4 linked regions of the Canis lupus familiaris genome follow. The protein of the gene in region 2 interacts with the protein of the main gene of each other region in a pairwise test. Links are inferred from orthologs where the notes say so. Each region holds a gene or a part of one and is shown on either strand. Other genes may lie near its edges.

The links.
Region 1: the proteins of UBE3A (region 2) and UBQLN2 interact in a two-hybrid assay, tested with the Homo sapiens proteins (2 studies listed by BioGRID and IntAct). The link is inferred for Canis lupus familiaris from reciprocal best matches to the Homo sapiens genes UBE3A and UBQLN2.
Region 3: the proteins of UBE3A (region 2) and MCM6 interact in binary tests that used the Homo sapiens proteins (3 or more experiments, as listed by UniProt). The link is inferred for Canis lupus familiaris from reciprocal best matches to the Homo sapiens genes UBE3A and MCM6.
Region 4: the proteins of UBE3A (region 2) and JADE1 interact in a two-hybrid assay, tested with the Homo sapiens proteins (3 studies listed by BioGRID and IntAct). The link is inferred for Canis lupus familiaris from reciprocal best matches to the Homo sapiens genes UBE3A and JADE1.

What each region holds. Positions count from the first base shown.
Region 1 is NC_049260.1:48,015,701-48,019,695, forward strand, and holds the start of UBQLN2 (ubiquilin-2), read left to right. Parts: upstream 1-1,145; 5' UTR 1,146-1,434; coding exon 1,435-3,306; 3' UTR 3,307-3,995. UniProt on the Homo sapiens protein: Plays an important role in the regulation of different protein degradation mechanisms and pathways including ubiquitin-proteasome system (UPS), autophagy and the endoplasmic reticulum-associated protein degradation (ERAD) pathway.
Region 2 is NC_049224.1:35,646,817-35,650,809, reverse strand, and holds the start of UBE3A (ubiquitin-protein ligase E3A), read right to left. Parts: upstream 2,845-3,993; 5' UTR 2,326-2,844; intron 1-2,325. UniProt on the Homo sapiens protein: E3 ubiquitin-protein ligase which accepts ubiquitin from an E2 ubiquitin-conjugating enzyme in the form of a thioester and transfers it to its substrates.
Region 3 is NC_049240.1:40,137,172-40,141,443, reverse strand, and holds the start of MCM6 (DNA replication licensing factor MCM6), read left to right. Parts: upstream 1-1,472; 5' UTR 1,473-1,532; coding exon 1,533-1,639; intron 1,640-4,272. UniProt on the Homo sapiens protein: Acts as a component of the MCM2-7 complex (MCM complex) which is the replicative helicase essential for 'once per cell cycle' DNA replication initiation and elongation in eukaryotic cells.
Region 4 is NC_049240.1:13,053,922-13,058,187, forward strand, and holds the start of JADE1 (protein Jade-1), read right to left. Parts: upstream 2,835-4,266; 5' UTR 2,770-2,834; coding exon 2,751-2,769; intron 2,405-2,750; exon of another isoform or gene 2,316-2,404; intron 1,797-2,315; exon of another isoform or gene 1,679-1,796; intron 1-1,678.

The sequences.
Region 1 (3,995 bases), on a different chromosome or scaffold from region 2:
CATGCCCTTAGCAGAAGGCAGATACTCAATTGCTGAGCTACCCAGGGATCCCTATTTAATGCATATCTTTATACTTTATATCAGGTGAATTAATCACCGATTTTTTACACAAAGTATTTTATTATGTGGTAATATCATAATATATTTTATCAACCCTGTGTAAGCACACTGATTATCTTTATTTTTTTATTTTTTAAAGATTTTATTTATTTATTCATGAGAGACAGAGAGAGAGAGAGAGGAGAGACACAGGCAGAGAGAAGCAGGCTCCTTGCAGGGATCCCGACAGGGGACTCGATACTGGCACCTCAAGCCCTGAGTCAAAGGCAAACGCTCAACTGCTGAGCCACCCAGGCATCCCTGATTATCTTTAAAAATAATTTTAAGATGCTGCAGTGCATATACATCTTATACATATATATTTTTGCATCCTTATCTACTTTCATAGAAGTGTCTAAAGAAGGTATTTCTAAATAAAAATGGAAATATTTAAAATGTTGATACATATTTTCAAATTGCCTTACACTTATAACAATTTACACTTCAACTGATAAGAGTGCATTTTCTCAGCTCACTGATGATAAGGTTTATCATTATTTTCCTTTTTCCAATATGATAAAGCAGAAGTAGAATCTCACTATCTTAATTGAATTTCTTTGATTACTAGTAAGCTTAAGCATCCATTTTTATGCTCATTGGCCATTTGGGTTTCTTTTGTAAAATGCATGCTCTGGCCCAGTCTGCTCCCCTTCCCCCACTCTGGCTGTTAGTCTTTTCCTTTTGCTTAGTCAGAGTTCTTTTTCATTTTTCGTCTTTTACATGGGGTGAGTTTGATTCAGGCTTTCATCCTTTCTTGCCTGACAGACTTTATATATATTTTTATATATAATATATTCTACATGGGTCTTTTAATGTCCTCAGAAGCTAGCTCCTTTTCTCTCTCCCTTCCTCCTTCCCTCTCTTTTGTCTTCTCTGTTCTCTTTGTTTCTTTCTGTCTTTGTTTTTCTCTCTCTCCCTCTCTCTTTATTTTTTCCAGTACAGAAGTTTTTAATTTTGAACGAGTCGAATCTATCATTTTCGGCCTGGCGCCGCGTCAGCAGAGGGGGCGGGGAGGCGAGCGCGGAACTGGGGGAGGGGACAGGGCGGGGAGGAGCGGGCAGAGCAGCTGCAGGAGTTGCTGGGAGCGCGCGCGGTGCGATCACTCGGCGTCGGAGGAGGCCCAGAGACCTGAACGCAGACGCTTCTCCCGCGGCCTACAGCGTCTTCTCCCCACCGGAGGACCAGGAAACCGCAGTTCTCATCACAGAGGTACCGTGCTCTGCGCTCCCCGCCCGGCTCAGCCTGCTGTGGTGGCGCCTCCTTCCTTCCTTCTTCCCTCGCTCTCTTTCTCGCCCGCCCGCGCCTTCTCTGTCTGCCTGCGTCACCGCGGCCGCCATGGCTGAGAACGGCGAGAGTAGCGGCCCCCCGCGCCCCTCCCGCGGCCCTGCCGCGGCCCAAGGCCCTGCCTCTGCCCCGGCCGAGCCCAAAATCATCAAAGTTACTGTGAAGACCCCCAAAGAGAAAGAGGAGTTCGCGGTGCCCGAGAATAGCTCAGTCCAGCAGTTTAAGGAAGCGATTTCAAAACGCTTCAAATCCCAAACCGACCAGCTAGTGTTGATTTTTGCCGGAAAAATCTTAAAAGATCAAGATACCTTGATTCAGCATGGCATCCATGATGGACTGACTGTTCATCTTGTAATTAAAAGCCAGAACCGACCTCAGGGCCAGTCCACACAGCCTAGTAATGCCGCGGGAACTAATACTACCTCCGCGTCGACTCCCAGGAGTAACTCCACATCTGTTTCCACAAATAGCAACCCGTTTGGGCTGGGGAGCTTAGGAGGACTTGCAGGCCTTAGCAGCCTGGGCTTGAGCTCGACCAACTTCTCTGAGCTCCAGAACCAGATGCAGCAGCAGCTCCTGTCCAGCCCTGAGATGATGATTCAAATCATGGAAAATCCCTTTGTTCAGAGCATGCTTTCAAATCCCGATCTAATGAGGCAGCTCATTATGGCCAATCCACAGATGCAGCAGTTGATTCAGAGAAATCCAGAAATCAGTCACCTGCTCAACAACCCAGATATAATGAGACAGACCCTGGAAATTGCCAGGAATCCAGCCATGATGCAAGAGATGATGAGAAATCAAGATTTGGCTCTCAGCAATCTTGAAAGCATCCCAGGTGGCTACAATGCTCTACGACGCATGTACACTGATATTCAAGAACCCATGCTGAATGCTGCACAAGAGCAGTTTGGGGGTAATCCATTTGCCTCGGTGGGAAGCAGTTCCACCTCTGGGGAAGGTACACAACCTTCCCGCACAGAAAATCGAGATCCACTACCCAATCCATGGGCACCACCACCGGCTACCCAGAGTTCTGCAACCACCAGCACAACCTCCAGCAGTGGCAGTGGCTCTGGCAGTAGCTCCAGCAGTGCTACTGGGAACACCGTGGCTGCAGCCAACTATGTTGCCAGCATCTTCAGTACCCCAGGAATGCAGAGCTTGCTGCAACAGATAACTGAAAACCCTCAACTGATCCAGAATATGCTGTCTGCACCCTACATGAGAAGCATGATGCAGTCGCTGAGCCAGAATCCAGATTTAGCTGCACAGATGATGCTGAATAGCCCGGTGTTTACTGCAAATCCTCAGTTGCAGGAGCAGATGCGTCCACAGCTCCCAGCTTTCCTGCAGCAGATGCAGAATCCAGACACACTATCAGCCATGTCAAACCCAAGAGCAATGCAGGCTTTAATGCAGATCCAGCAGGGGCTACAGACATTAGCCACTGAAGCTCCTGGCCTCATTCCAAGCTTCACTCCAGGTGTGGGGGTAGGGGTGCTGGGAACCGCTATAGGCCCTGTAGGCCCAGTCACACCCATAGGCCCCATAGGCCCCATAGTCCCATTTACTCCCATAGGCCCCATTGGGCCCATAGGACCCACCGGCCCTGCAGGCCCTGGCTCTACTGGCTCTGGAGGCCCCCCTGGGCCCACTGTTTCTAGCTCTACACCCACCGAAACCACTAGCCCAACATCAGAATCTGGACCCAACCAGCAGTTCATTCAGCAAATGGTGCAGGCTCTGGCTGGGGCAAGTCCTCCACAGCTGCCGAATCCAGAAGTCAGATTTCAGCAACAACTGGAACAGCTCAACGCAATGGGGTTCTTAAACCGTGAGGCAAACTTGCAGGCTCTAATAGCAACAGGAGGCGACATCAATGCTGCCATTGAAAGGCTGCTGGGCTCCCAGCCATCCTAATTACATTTCTGTACCTTGAAAAAAATGTATCTTATTTTTGATAATGGCTCTTAAATCTTTAAACACACACAAAAACGTGCTTTACTTTCATTTTGATTCTTTTAAATCTAATTATAAGTCTAATATGCATTTTAAGGTGGAGTCCATCCTTCTGTCCCTCCTTCCTGTATCTATCCTTCCTGCCTGCCTGCCTTCCTTCCTTCTTTCCTACCTCCCTCTATCCCTTTCTCCTTCCTTCCTTCCTTACTTTCTTCCTTCCTTCTCTGTTTTGAATGGTGGTAATTGTAATCAATGCTGTTTCACTCAAAGGTGTTGCATGCAAACACTTCTCTTTATTCTGCATTTATTGTGATTTTTGGAAACCGGTATCAGCCTTCACTGTTAAGTGAATAAGTTTTGTCCTACAGATGTCCAATTTATTTGCATTTTAAACATTAGCCTATAATAGTAATTTAATGTAGAATTAAAATATTAAAAACAAGCAAATTATTTGAAGCTCTCCAATTTGTGGTACAATATTGCTTATTGTGACTTTGGCATGTATTTTTGCTAGCAAAATGCTGTAAGATTTATACCATTATTTGCTCTTTTTGCTATGTTTTACACAGTACAGTAAGCACAATTGGAACTGTACATCTAGAATTATTACAACAGAATCTAAGCAGAATATGTGTAACCAAAATAAGAAA
Region 2 (3,993 bases):
CCTTGAAACTGAGTTAGTTTCACCACCCCATTTTACAGATGACAAAACTGCAGCTCACCAAGACTAAGTAACTTTCTAAGATCAAACAAGTAAGGTTGAGCCCAGAAGTAAAAATGGAATCTAATTCCAAAGCTATCTTCCCTGTATACATTATAATGTCTGAATTTATCTTTTCATTTGCAGTGGGGGCAGAGCAGGGAATGTCAAAATCAGCCAAAACTCTGTTATCCCGAATTATCCTAAAAAGAGAAAACTTGTCTTCACTCATAAAAAAAATCAAAAAACTAATTTCTTAACAGATACCTATGTACTTAATGTAATGTCCCTGTTTTGACCAATACTAGTTTAGATATAAACAAAAATGTGCAACATGACAAGTACATAACCAATAATCATTTAAGAAAATAAACATCTGTAAATATTTCAAGTGTTTGGGTTGAAAAATTTAGATATGATGCATAGTTTTGGATTATTCCACTGACTGCTTATTTGAAATGGCAAATCATTTCAGATGTGTGGGGTGATTTTTTTTTTTTCTTTTTTGGAGGGGAGAGAGGAGTACCACTTTAAAAATGATCTAAAGTTTAAGAAATACAACTGATTAAATGTTAAAATCCAATTTTAAATACCCAATAAACCTTATTACATGAGCTGGGCAAGTGGGATGAGAATGTGTCTTCCTCACACTTCTAATAAGCATACTTAAGAAGGTATTTTTTTAAGCCATGAAAAAAATGTACAATTTCAGAGAAGTAAAACAAAAACAGCTTACAAAACCCCTGAAAAGGAACCAAAACATTGTAATATTGTAATTTACTCTGTAAAGTCCTCAAGAACTAGGCAATGTCCAGACAACAGTGTACATAATACTTAGCATACTAGATAATATATATTGATACAAGACTTCCTTAGTTTCCAGTCCCATTCTTGTAAGGAGAAGGTCATTATTTCTTGAATTTATTTCTTGCTTTTGTTGTCATGATTATTAGTTTCTTTAAAAGGCTTCAGGTTCATTCTTTGGTCTTATCAGCATCATCGTGAATATTGTATTCATTTTATTACAAATGTGATAACCCGATTTATAAGCACCATCTACCTCTAAAATTATTTCTATATATATCATGACAAAATTATACTTTTATCTTTCTAAATTCTAAATTTTTACATGGCTTACACAATAATCTGAGTACTTATTAGTCAGAGATTATGAATAAACACTTCTTATCCTTCTTGTCTAATTCACTCAAGATATTTATTGGGTATCCACAGTGACTCTGACAGGTAACTTTTTAACAGTTATACTTCCAAACTCTAGGTCCTTTCCATTTCAGGCCCTTTTCTTCCCCCCAGAATATTCTGGAATAATTTCCTGCTTCTTTCAATATTGCAGGCAGTGGAATTCTCCAAAATTATGGGTCATATCCATATTCCCCTCATATTTACGGAGGGTAACTATGGACTGTAAATCCCATATTACTATTCTTTTACATTTCAACAGCACCCTAGCCACTTAATAAATAGAATCCCAGACAGATTTAGTAATGTTTCTATTTTAGTATGCCCACTGGTCGTTTTTAAAAATTCAGAGACTAAATTATCTTTGAAGGAGTCTAAGTCTACATTAAAATCATTTCTAACAATTTTATTGATTAAAGCATTTGCCACGTTCAATTCTCACTTTACCAACAAAACCTCCACGCCATGACGAAGAAAGAGTCCTTTTCATTTTCTCAACTGAAAAGGGAAAGTAAAAAATGCCAACTGTTTGCAGGTTTGCATTTAAGGGAATTTCTGGCAAACCCGGTAACTCACGTTTAACATGAAAACGCGGATAATCTGTGGACGCGACCCGGGGCTCGATTTCCCACTTCATCCGCCCTCCCCCCCAACCCCACCCCCGCCACCGTCCACCCCCAAATCCCAACCCACCGCAGCGCCAGGCTCAGCATTTTTCACCCACGGGGCCGAGCCCTCAAGAAAAACTCTCCCCTCGGGAGGAGAGGGCCGGCCCTACCAGCCCGGCTCCGGCCTGCTCCGCGAGCCCTTCCACCGAGGCCAACTCTCGACGCCCTGCACGCCCCGCCCCGGGCCCGCTCGCGTCCCCTCCGGCCACACCACCCTCCCTCCGGCCCTCGGCCAGGACTGACAGTTACGGAGGCAGCCGCCGCCGCCGCCGCCACCGCCACCAGAGGCCTAGTCCTGGCAGCAGCCGCCCCCCCCCCCCCACCGCCGCGCGGTCCGGGGGCCTCCCACCCTCCCTCCCAGGCCCCGGAAGGCGGCTCGGCGACACGGACGACGTCGGGAACGGCCCCCGGCCACACTGACCTGCGGTCGCCCCCGCGCCCGGGCCGTGGCCCTCGCAGCCGCGGCTGCCTCACTGGTCGCAGTAGCCTTCGCTCGCCGCCTCCGCCCGCCACCGCCTCGTTCCCTGTCGCTGCCGCCACCGCCGGGGCTCATGCGGGACCCGCGCTTCCTTCTCCGGAGACGGAGGCCGGGAAAGGGGGCGCCGGGGCCGCAAGAGAACCCGAGCTCGCCGCCAGCCGCCGCCTGTCCGCGCTGGGGAGCTGCGGGGCCCGCCGAGCCGGGGCTGGGCTGCGGACTGCTCCGAGCGCGACCCCGAGACGCGCCGAGGGAGGCGCCGCCGCCCGCTGCCCGAAGCGTTGGGTCCGCAAGATGAAGCCCAAGTCCGAGGCGGCGGCGGAAGGCGAGCGCGCAGGCCGGCGGATGGCTAAGTGGCAGCGGGGTGCGTGAGCGGGAGGAAGGCGGTGTGTCGAGGTTCCGGCGAAGGGGATTCAGGCTCTGTCGTCTACTGCCAGTCACCCCGAACCCAGCGCCACCATCTTGGAAAAAAACGCGGATCTCGCGGCCGCAGCGCAAGCCGGGAGGACTGGCTGGGCGGGCCGAGTATCCCAGCAGGCAGCGCGCGCCGCCCGGCCGGGCGAGAGCTCCGGGCCGGGACGCAGCGACGTGAGGCGGGGCTGGGGTGCGCGCGGGCGGGCGCAGCGCTGTGCCCCGCCCTCTCACGCCGGCTCCGCCCCCTGCCTTCTTGCCGTCGTCGCCCGCGCAGGGCCTGCTGGGAAGGGGAAGTGGCTCGGGGCTCCCTGGAGTCCTACCAGGGCTGGTCGCCATCTTGGGACGAGGCAGAGGAGTTCGTGTTTCCATGGAGCCACCTCTGTCTGTGGTGGCTCTATCCCCGCGGAAAGAAGGGGGTAACGCCGGGAGCCCCCTGGAGCCCCTGGGAGGGCTGGACGGCCCCCTGGTATACCCAAGTCCAGGGACGTGCTAGGACATAAACGCTCCCGATGTTAACCGGGATGGGTCCGCCGGGGGGCGGGGGCTGTGATGGCTTCCAGCCCCGCATAGCGGGGCCGACGCCTCCGGACACCGGGCCTTCGATCTCAGCCCCTTCCCGTCAGGCGGCAGCTGTAGGTCCTGCTGTGGTACCCCGAGAGCGTGAGCCACCTTCAGGGGACAAGGTCATCTGCTTGGGCCTCCCGCCGACACAATGTCATCACTGTAGTCGAAGGTGAAAGCCCATCCCTTGGCAGGTTGTTAGGAGATGGTGGCCTCGTGGTCCACACCAGCCGGGGGGATGCTGATTCCATCCCCGTGACAATTGAAGCCACTTAAAGCCATGCGTCTTCATACTATCAAGGTCACCTTTTTATTTAAAAGGGCTTATTTTATGGCTCTGCGACACTTAGCAAAGCTGTAGTGGGATCACTAACAAACAGTATTCCTAATGGCTTACGACTTCGCTAAGCCCCGAAATACTATATAGATCCCATTCATCTGATACTCAATTTTTTTTAAATCAACAGTCTTACATAGCACTGTATTTAACTGCCATTCTTAGAACATTATAAGTCAGATATATGGATACGGCTTCCCAATTATAACCTGTAAAAAAAAAAAAAAAAAAAAAAAAAAACGTAAAAAATAAGCTAGTGGAATTTAAATTATCCCAGAACAATTAATGATAAATGACAGTAT
Region 3 (4,272 bases), on a different chromosome or scaffold from region 2:
GCCCATCAATAGGTAATCTTGGCCCAGCCCCTAGGATCCTGTAAGTCTACTTTAACATAAAAAAATTCCTTTGGAAACCTCCTTTATTTCTACCTGCCACGATACACGTTGGCAATCATCCCCCCCAGGTATATGATCCACCAATATACAACTTGAAGGGTCTCACAACGGAGTTTTTACTGAACAGTAATAAATGACCTTTCCTACGAATAGCTAGACCCAGCAGGATCTGGAACAAGGAAATCTTGTTTCCAAAATACCTGGTAGGGTTACACCACCCCCAACTCCCTCCCATCTTGAAAGTATATAATGGGCCACTCCTCATGACCCCAGTGCAGCTTTTTCTCCTCCTGGATCCCGTCCCTGTGCCTTGATAAAATCATTTTTTTGCACCAAAGGTGTCTCAAGAATTCTTTCTTGGCCCTTGGTGTGGAACCCTAAGCCTTTGCTATCTCAACTGCCTGTACATCTCGCCAATAGTTAATATTCAAGCTGAGTAAGCACCGGAGAAATCTTGCGAAAGTAGTTTTATGAGCCGAAATTTGAAGAAAATATTTATGATCTAGTACTTCCTGCATGTCCCCTGCCCCTTGAACATTAAGCTTATAACCACCAGTTTCATGCAGCAAAGGTGCAGCTCTTCCAGCCTATGGGTCCTACCCCGGTGCTACTTAAATGCACTTGCTAAGCTGCGCCGTAAAACCTCTCGAGAATTCCTTCCTGACCAGGCTAGGCCAGTGATCCCACGACAACAGGAAAGAAGAGGGCCCCCCAAGACAGCTTCTTTGGGAGAAAGAAGGGCTCTGGGACCAGGCACTTAAGGGACTCACTGGAGAAGCAGCTCCAGAGGCTACCCAAGAACGGCCAAAGAGGAGAAAAAGCAAGAGGAACGAAGTCGGGGAAAGATGGCCAGAGAGAGTAAAGAAAATCCAGAGGACCTAAACCAACAGTTGCATTCAAGGGAGGAGTCCATCAACGACAGAAACCTCGCTGATTTCCTCGGGTCGGCCCCAGCCACAGTGACTCTGCGACCCCTGCTCCCTGGTGACTTGACACATCTCTTCGGGCTCCTGGACAGTTGCAACCGGTGATTTACGATTTCCTCCAAACACACAGCTCGGGCAGGTCTGGATCTTACTCATTTTTCTCTTCCACGGAGCCTTATGTCTACTGCTCAATGGGTATCAGTGAAACGACTTGAAGAACACCTGGAAATCCACGTGAATCCCGACGCAACCTCCTAAGCTGCGCCAGAAACCAAGCTGCCGGCCGCCGGCCGCACCGCGCAGGCGCAAAGGCCGAGCCCGCGGGGCTTCCTCCCGGTCTTTGCATTTGGCGCGAAATCCCGGCTCCGGGGGCGGGGCCGAGGGAGAAGCCGCGCTCATTGGGCAGGTTTGGCGCGAAACCCGCGAGCTCTCGCGCCACGATTGGTCGCGGCCGCCGCCGGGGGCGCGCGCCGAGCGGCAGCGTCTGCGGGGAAGCGACCGCTGGCTGAGGAGCGTGCGGGCTGAGGCCCCTCGGCGCCGGCGGCCATGGACCTCGGGGCGGCGGCGGAGCCGGGCGCCGGCAGCCAGCGCCAGGAAGTCCGCGACGAGGTGGCCGAGAAGTGCCAGAAGCTCTTCCTGGATTTCCTGGAGGAGTAAGTCGGCGCGCGCCCCTTCCTCGCGGAACTTCCCCGGGCCGCCGTCCCCACTTCCGGAGCCCCGTTCCCCGGGCGGGCGTGGGGGGGGGGGGCGCGGCCGACGGGAGTAGAGACCCCCGCCCCCCCCCCCCCCCGAGCGCCTGGGTCCCGTCCTTCTGCCGTCCCCGCCCGTAAGGCCGGCGGCCCCGTCGGCCCTGGGCGCCTCGGCGGGCCCTGGGGCACCTCGGCGGACCCTGGGGCACTTCAGCGGGCCCTGGGCGCCTCGGCGGACCCCGGGGCACCTCGTTGGACCCCGGGGCACCTCGGCGGACCCCGGGGCGCGCAGGGTAGGTGGCAGGCTCGGCCCCGAGGGCACCCGACGGCCAGGCCGCTGCCGTGCTGGGGAGCCGTGCGCGGAGAGGACGCTCGCGGGGACCCGGGCCCGCCCGAAAGCGTCGGGGGCGCGCTCCTTCCTCGCGTCCCCCTCCCTCTACGCGCACCTCCCAGGGCCTCCCAGGCTCCTGGGCCCTCCTTCCTGCCGCTGCCGCCCCTTGGGTTTCTTAGTGCAGATGCATCACTTCTTTTTTCCTGAGACTGTGGACTTCCGAATGTCTTATGAAGTCCTCCTTTTTTTTTTTTTTTTTTTTTTTAAATTGTAAGACATGCGTGACATGGATGTTACATGTTATGTTACATCGACCTACAAAACTTCCCAGCTAACTTTTTTTTAAGAGTAGAGTTGAGTGGCGTTAAGGGCGTACGTGGAGCTTGTCAAGCAGCCCTTGGGTGGATCGGCGCCGGCCCTCGCGGCAACTCCTGGGCTTCCCAAAAGTTGACACTCTGCGACCCCTAAACCGTCGCTCCCCGTTCCCCCCACCCTGCCCCCAGCACCTGGCAGCCTTCCTTCATCCCCCGTAGTTCAGATGAATTTCACTGTTCTGGTCGCCTGGTCTGCTTGGAGTCGTACCGTATTTGTTCTTTTGTGACCAGCTTATTGCACTTACCGCTGTAACATCCTCAAGATTCATCCCCCTATACAGCATGGGTCAGAATCTCTTTTTAAGGGTGAGTAGTGTTTCACTGTGTGCCTGTACCCCTTCCTGTCCGTTCGTTCATGGACGCTTGGTTTGTTTTTTTTTTCCCCACATTTTTACTATTGTGAATAATTCTGTCTTAAGAGATCCTGATATATCCTGATATATTTATTTATGTTTTTTTTTTTTTTGAAGTTTTTCTTTATTTATTCATGAGAATCGCAAAGAGAGGCAGAAACATAGGCAGAGGGAGAAGCAGGCTCCCATCAGGACTCATGTGGGACTGGATCCCGGGACCCCAGGATAACAAACACCCTGAGCTGAAGGCAGACACTCAACCATTGAGCCACCCAGGTGCCCCAAGATTCTGATATATTTAAAACAATAATTTAATTTACGTTCCCTATCTCTGCCGGACAGCTATTTATCTTTCAAAGCCTAGCTACAGACTCAGACTTCCTTTGTCAAACCCTATAAGCTTTTTTTTTTTTTTTTTTAAGATTTTATTTGTTTATTCATGGGAGATAGAGAGGCAGGCTCCATGCAGGAAGCCCAACACAGGACTTGATCCCAGGTCCCCAGGATCACGCCCTGGGCTGAAGGCAGTGCTAAACCACTGAGCCACCGGAGCTGCCCCAAACCCTATAAACCTTTAAGGCAACATCAATCCTTTCTTCCCTTAGGCTCCTAAGGCGCCATTTTCCGTTATCTCTGGTGTAACTTGCTATATCTACCTGTCAGCCTCTTTGTCTTGAATGTAAATCTCATCCTTAACCCCACCTGGCTGTCACACCATACTACATAGGTCCTCAATTAATGTTTCATCTTAACAAAGAATATAATTGTTTTCACTGCCTTGCAGTACCATACAGCTAGGTGCTAGGGATAATGATAAATAGGACAAATAATCACTGTATTTGGGGAAGGCGGGGAATGTTAACTTGCCCTCAAAATTCCAACTCTGATTTGCCCTTGTTTATGGAATAAAGTCCCAAATTCTTCACAGCTCCTCTTCCCAGTTTCATCCCACAAGCAGCCTGCCACCATCCTTCTTCCTATACCTTTTCTGACATTGCCACTTATTTATCAACACCTATAGCCAGCCAGTCTAACCACTACTGGGATTTTTTTTTTTTTGGTGATTTTGTTGTTGTTTTTTGCTTTCTTTCAAATTCTAAATGTCTTTCAAGGCTGAATTCCACTGTCCCTTTTGAAATGCTTGAGGCGTTTCTGTGTGTTCTCCTAGAGCAGAATTAGTTTATAATCCCACAGCACATTTCTTGTACCTCTTCCTTTTTTCCCCTTTATTTTATTGTGAAAAACAATAAAATACATAATCTCACTTAACATGAGATCTACCCTCTTAAATTTTTAGCTGTACAATATATTATCATTGACTTTAAGTACAATGTTACACAGTGGATCTCTTAAGACTTATTCGGTCTCATTTGGATGAAACTTTATGCCTATTTATTAGGACCTCCACATCTCCTCCTTTGCTCTAGCCTCAGGCAACTACCATTCTGCTGTCTCTGTCGATCTATTTATTTAATGTAAGCTCTGCACCCAACCTGGGACTTGAACTCCTGACCCTGAGATCAAGAGTCGCATGCTCTA
Region 4 (4,266 bases), on a different chromosome or scaffold from region 2:
ACTTTAGGGCCAACTGAGGAAATCTGAATATATCCCTGTATCAAATAAGATGAGAATTTATCAAGCTGGCTGATTGGGGGGGGGGGGACACTCCTTATAGAACTGTATATATAGTATGATCTCATTTTGATTAAAATCTATATACATATGCACAATTATCAATAAAGTGATACAGTGGTGATCTCTGGATATTTGCTTCCCCGTATTTCCTAGTTTCCAACAATGTACGTGCAACACCACCTCTGTAATAATACTTTAAACCACTAAGGGCTCCTTAAAGCCAAAAATCATTATTTATTAAGTGACTAGTATGAACGAGTCACATGGAGATCTGCTCTTATTCCAAGTTCTCCAAGTTTTTAGCTAATCCTTCCCCAGCCTCTGAGCTAAGCAACAGTTCCTTTTAAAATAGAACATTTCCTTAAACTCCTCTAAGTTTTTTCCCGTCATCTCACTCTCAAGCGCACTTAATTTTTCAGTTTTCCTGGCTATAGCTATTCTTTCAACCTTAATAATACAAGACGAAAAGGTTCATTATAGGCTAAAACCCTGTCATGGGACAAAGGAGGAACTGTTATGATGGACTTTCTTCTTTTCCTTTTATTTTTTTTTAAGATTTTGTTTGTTTATTCATGAGAGAGAGAGAGAGAGAGGCAGAGGCACAGGCAGAGGGAGAAGCAGGCTCCATGCAGGGAGCCCGACGTGGGACTCGATTCCAGATCCCGGGATCACGCCCTGGGCCAAAGGCAGACGCTCAACCGCTGAGCCACCCAGGAGTCCCTCCTCTTTTCCTTTTAGAAGAACATATACCTAGCTTTGTCATAGGTAGATTTTCTGTGGCAGCCCATCCAACTTTCCTTACAGAAAAAGCAGCCTAGGATCTTAGGGCAGAATCAAGTTCAAGTTCTACAGTTTGTCAGGCAACTCCCTTTAGGTCTGCCTAATGGAAAAATGAAGGGGGAAACGGGGAATCAGTACACTTAGCTGCAAACGATTTGCTGTAGACGTCAAAACTGCCAATTTATATATAAATATAAAAACACGCAAACTTGGGGACCCCGGGGTGGCGCAGCGGTTTGGCGCCGCCTTCAGCCCGGGGTGTGACCCTGGAGTCCCGGGATCGAGTCCCACGTCGGGCTCCCTGCGTGGAGCCTGCTTCTCCCTCTGCCTGTGTCTCTGCCTCTCTCTCTCATGAATAAATAAAATCTTAAAAAAAAAAATACACAAACTTATGGAAGACCAGCAAATACCAAACAAGAAGTCGTCGGAAATATTTGGAATCTAAGCAGTAAAATTCTGGGCCGCAGACGTGCGCTCTGCAGGGTCACCCCAAACACCCTCTGCCCCCCACGGGTGCTGCCCGCTCTACGACGAGCACTGCACCCGGAGTCAGGCCTGCGTCCCAGCAGGGTCCTACGAACTCTTCCTTCCTCTCCCCTGCGAGGCCCTGCGCCTCCACCAGCGGCGACCCGAGCAAAGCGCAACGCCCCACGGTCCCCTCTAACCACCGGGACCACTAGGAAACCGGCTTCCGGGGAAAGGGCTGCCCGGTCCCCCGAAACGAGTTCCTGGGCCTTGAGACATCCTAAACAGCCTTGAGCTACAAGGAGCCGCAGAGCCAGGCTTTCAACAGGGAGCGTCCGGAAGCGGGGGGCGGGGGCGGGGGCGGGGGGGTCACCTAGTAAAAGCCTCTGGGAAACGAGCCCCTAAGCGTTCCTTCCCCACCGGCGGAGCCTCCGACGCGCTCCCGCTTCCCCGAACGGCCGTCGTCGGGGCCGACGTGCAGCTGCGGCTTCGCGGCGAGCGGGGGAGCTGCCCCGGGGCGGCCTGGGGCGCTGGGGTCGCCGCCGGCCGGCCCCGCCGCTCGCAAACGGCCTCCGGGGACGGCGCATTCCTAACGGGTTTCGAAGGCGCGTTTAAATCGCCCGCTTTTTTGTCTGCTCGCTGCCTTCTCCGGGCGCCGGGGCTGCGGCCGCCCCCGCGCGTCCGGGAGGGGGAGCCGGGGAGGGGGAGCCGGGGAGGGGGAGCCGGGGGCGGGCGGGGCGGGCGGGGCAGGCGGCGGGACGCGGCGCCCGCGTGGGAGGGACCCCGGGCTGCGGGGGAGCCGGGCCGCCGCCCCGCACCCAGACGCCCGCCGCCCGCCGCCCGCCGCCCGCCGGGTGTGCGCAGGGCCGCGGCTCCGCGCGGCACCGCCCCCTCCGCCCGCCCTCCCGCCTCTCCTCTCCTCTCCTCTCCTCTCCTCCTCCTCCGCCGCCTCCTCCTCCCGAGGCGACAGAAACAACAGCGCGGAAGGAGGGGAAAGTAACTCCCGGCACCTCCGCCGGAATTAGCCCCGGTGCAGCGATGACACCTTCTCGTGGCGCAGCCGGGCCCGCTCCCTCCGCAGCGCCGTCCCCGCCGCCGCCCTCTCCGTTTGAAAGTGGCCGCCCCCCCGCCGCCGCTCCTCCCGCCCCGCCGCCGCCGCTGCACCAATCCGCTCGGCCCCAGTTGCAAATCAAACGCTCCCTCGCGTCCAGAAGCCACTTGCGCCGCTGGAAACGGCCGCGCCGTCCCCTCCCCGAGTCCCTCCCGGGCGGCACCTGGAGCCGCGGCGGCCGCGCCGGCGAGAAACGGCCGCGAGCTGGGAGCGGCGAAGGCGGCGAAGGCGGCGGCGGCGAGCAGCCCCGGGCGGGCTCGGCTCCGGCTCCGGCTCCCGCTCCGGCTCCCGCGGCCGCTCCCGCCCCCAGACAGTTCTGGAAACTGTGGATCACCTCTGTCACAGGAAGCCATCCGGCGAGGAAGGCGGCGCGGAACCAACAAACAAACGCCTGCGGCCGCCCGCCGGAATCGGCGCGGGGACGGCGACGGGCTTCGGGCCGCTCCCGGGCGGGGGCGCGGCGGCCGCCCCCGCGCCGCGGGCTTTGTGCGGGGCGCGGGCGGCGCGGGCGCGGGCGCGGAGGGCCGGGCGTCCCCGCCCCCGGAGCCCCCCACCCCGGCCCCGCGGCGGCGCCCCCGGGACCGTTAGGTGACGCCTCGGCCGCCGCCCGCCCCCATTCCCACCAGGAGCCGCCTCTGCCCCAAGGCCGGAGGCGGGCCACAAAAGTTGGCCCCGGGGCCCCCCCAGCACCTGCCCACGTGCCGCGGAGGCTCGGTCCCGGGGCTCCCCCGGCCCTTCCCCCCGCCGCCCTCGGCCGCCAGGTCACCTATTACCGGTGGGAGGGGAGAGAGCCTGCTATTTAAACGCCCGCGGAAGTTGAGGCACCCCCACTGGCGGGTGCCGTGCACCTGCCTCCCGCCGCCGCGCTCCGCCACTTTGAGCAGCAGCCGCGTCCTCGGCCCCGCCTCCTGCCCGCAGGCGGGCGGGCGGGCGGGCGGGCGGGCGGGCGAGGGCGGGGGGGAGCGGGAAGGAGGTGGAAGGGATCGAATTTCTCCAGCAAATGGGACCGTTCCGACAGGATTCGGTTCCCCGGTCAACATTCCACATTCCATCCCTCTCCCGCATTTGCAAGCCAGCGCCAACAACCCGGAGAGCCTGCCGGCTTCCGAACAACAGCCCCCAACTCACAAACACTCACAGGCACCAGACACGTGCACCGAAGGGCTCCTGCAACTTGCAGTCCCGGGGTGCACGCCGCACGCTCGGGTGAAGGCAGCGAAGCCCAGGCGGCCCCACCCCCCACGGTCTGCACGGTCTGCAGATGGTGCCAAAGGTTGCAGTTTGCAATCCGCTTTAAGTTCACGGTTAATCGGTACTTTGCTCTACCGAGGCAACTCCTTCCTGGGCTCACCGGTGAAGGGCTTTACACTTTGCAGGCAGTCTCGCTTTGAGTGAAAGGGTCCGCTCCCTGGAAACCCGATTTGGGAGGATCTGACTGCCGAGCTGTCCCTGCACCCCCTGCTCCCTGCCCTTGCATTGATGCACAGAATATTTTGGACATGTGGTGACGCGGTGACAAGCGCCAGGGCTGCCGCGGCCACCCTGCCGAGACGGACCTACACACACACACGCGCGCGCACACACACACACACACACACACCTATACGTCTGGACAGATACAGTCGTCGCCCCCCCCCGCCCGCCGCGGTCACACACACACTCCGGATTCATATATGTACGCGGACCTGCGTTCTGCCATTGCCATCTGTCTACCAAGTTGCTACTATGCTTTCCACTTTCATGCAGCCTAATGCGCTTTGGCTTTTTTTTTTTTTTAAATGTGTATCCGCTAAAGCCAACTAGACTGGGCTTCTGCTCCTACACGCGTGTAAAGGAGGATTCACCTGAAA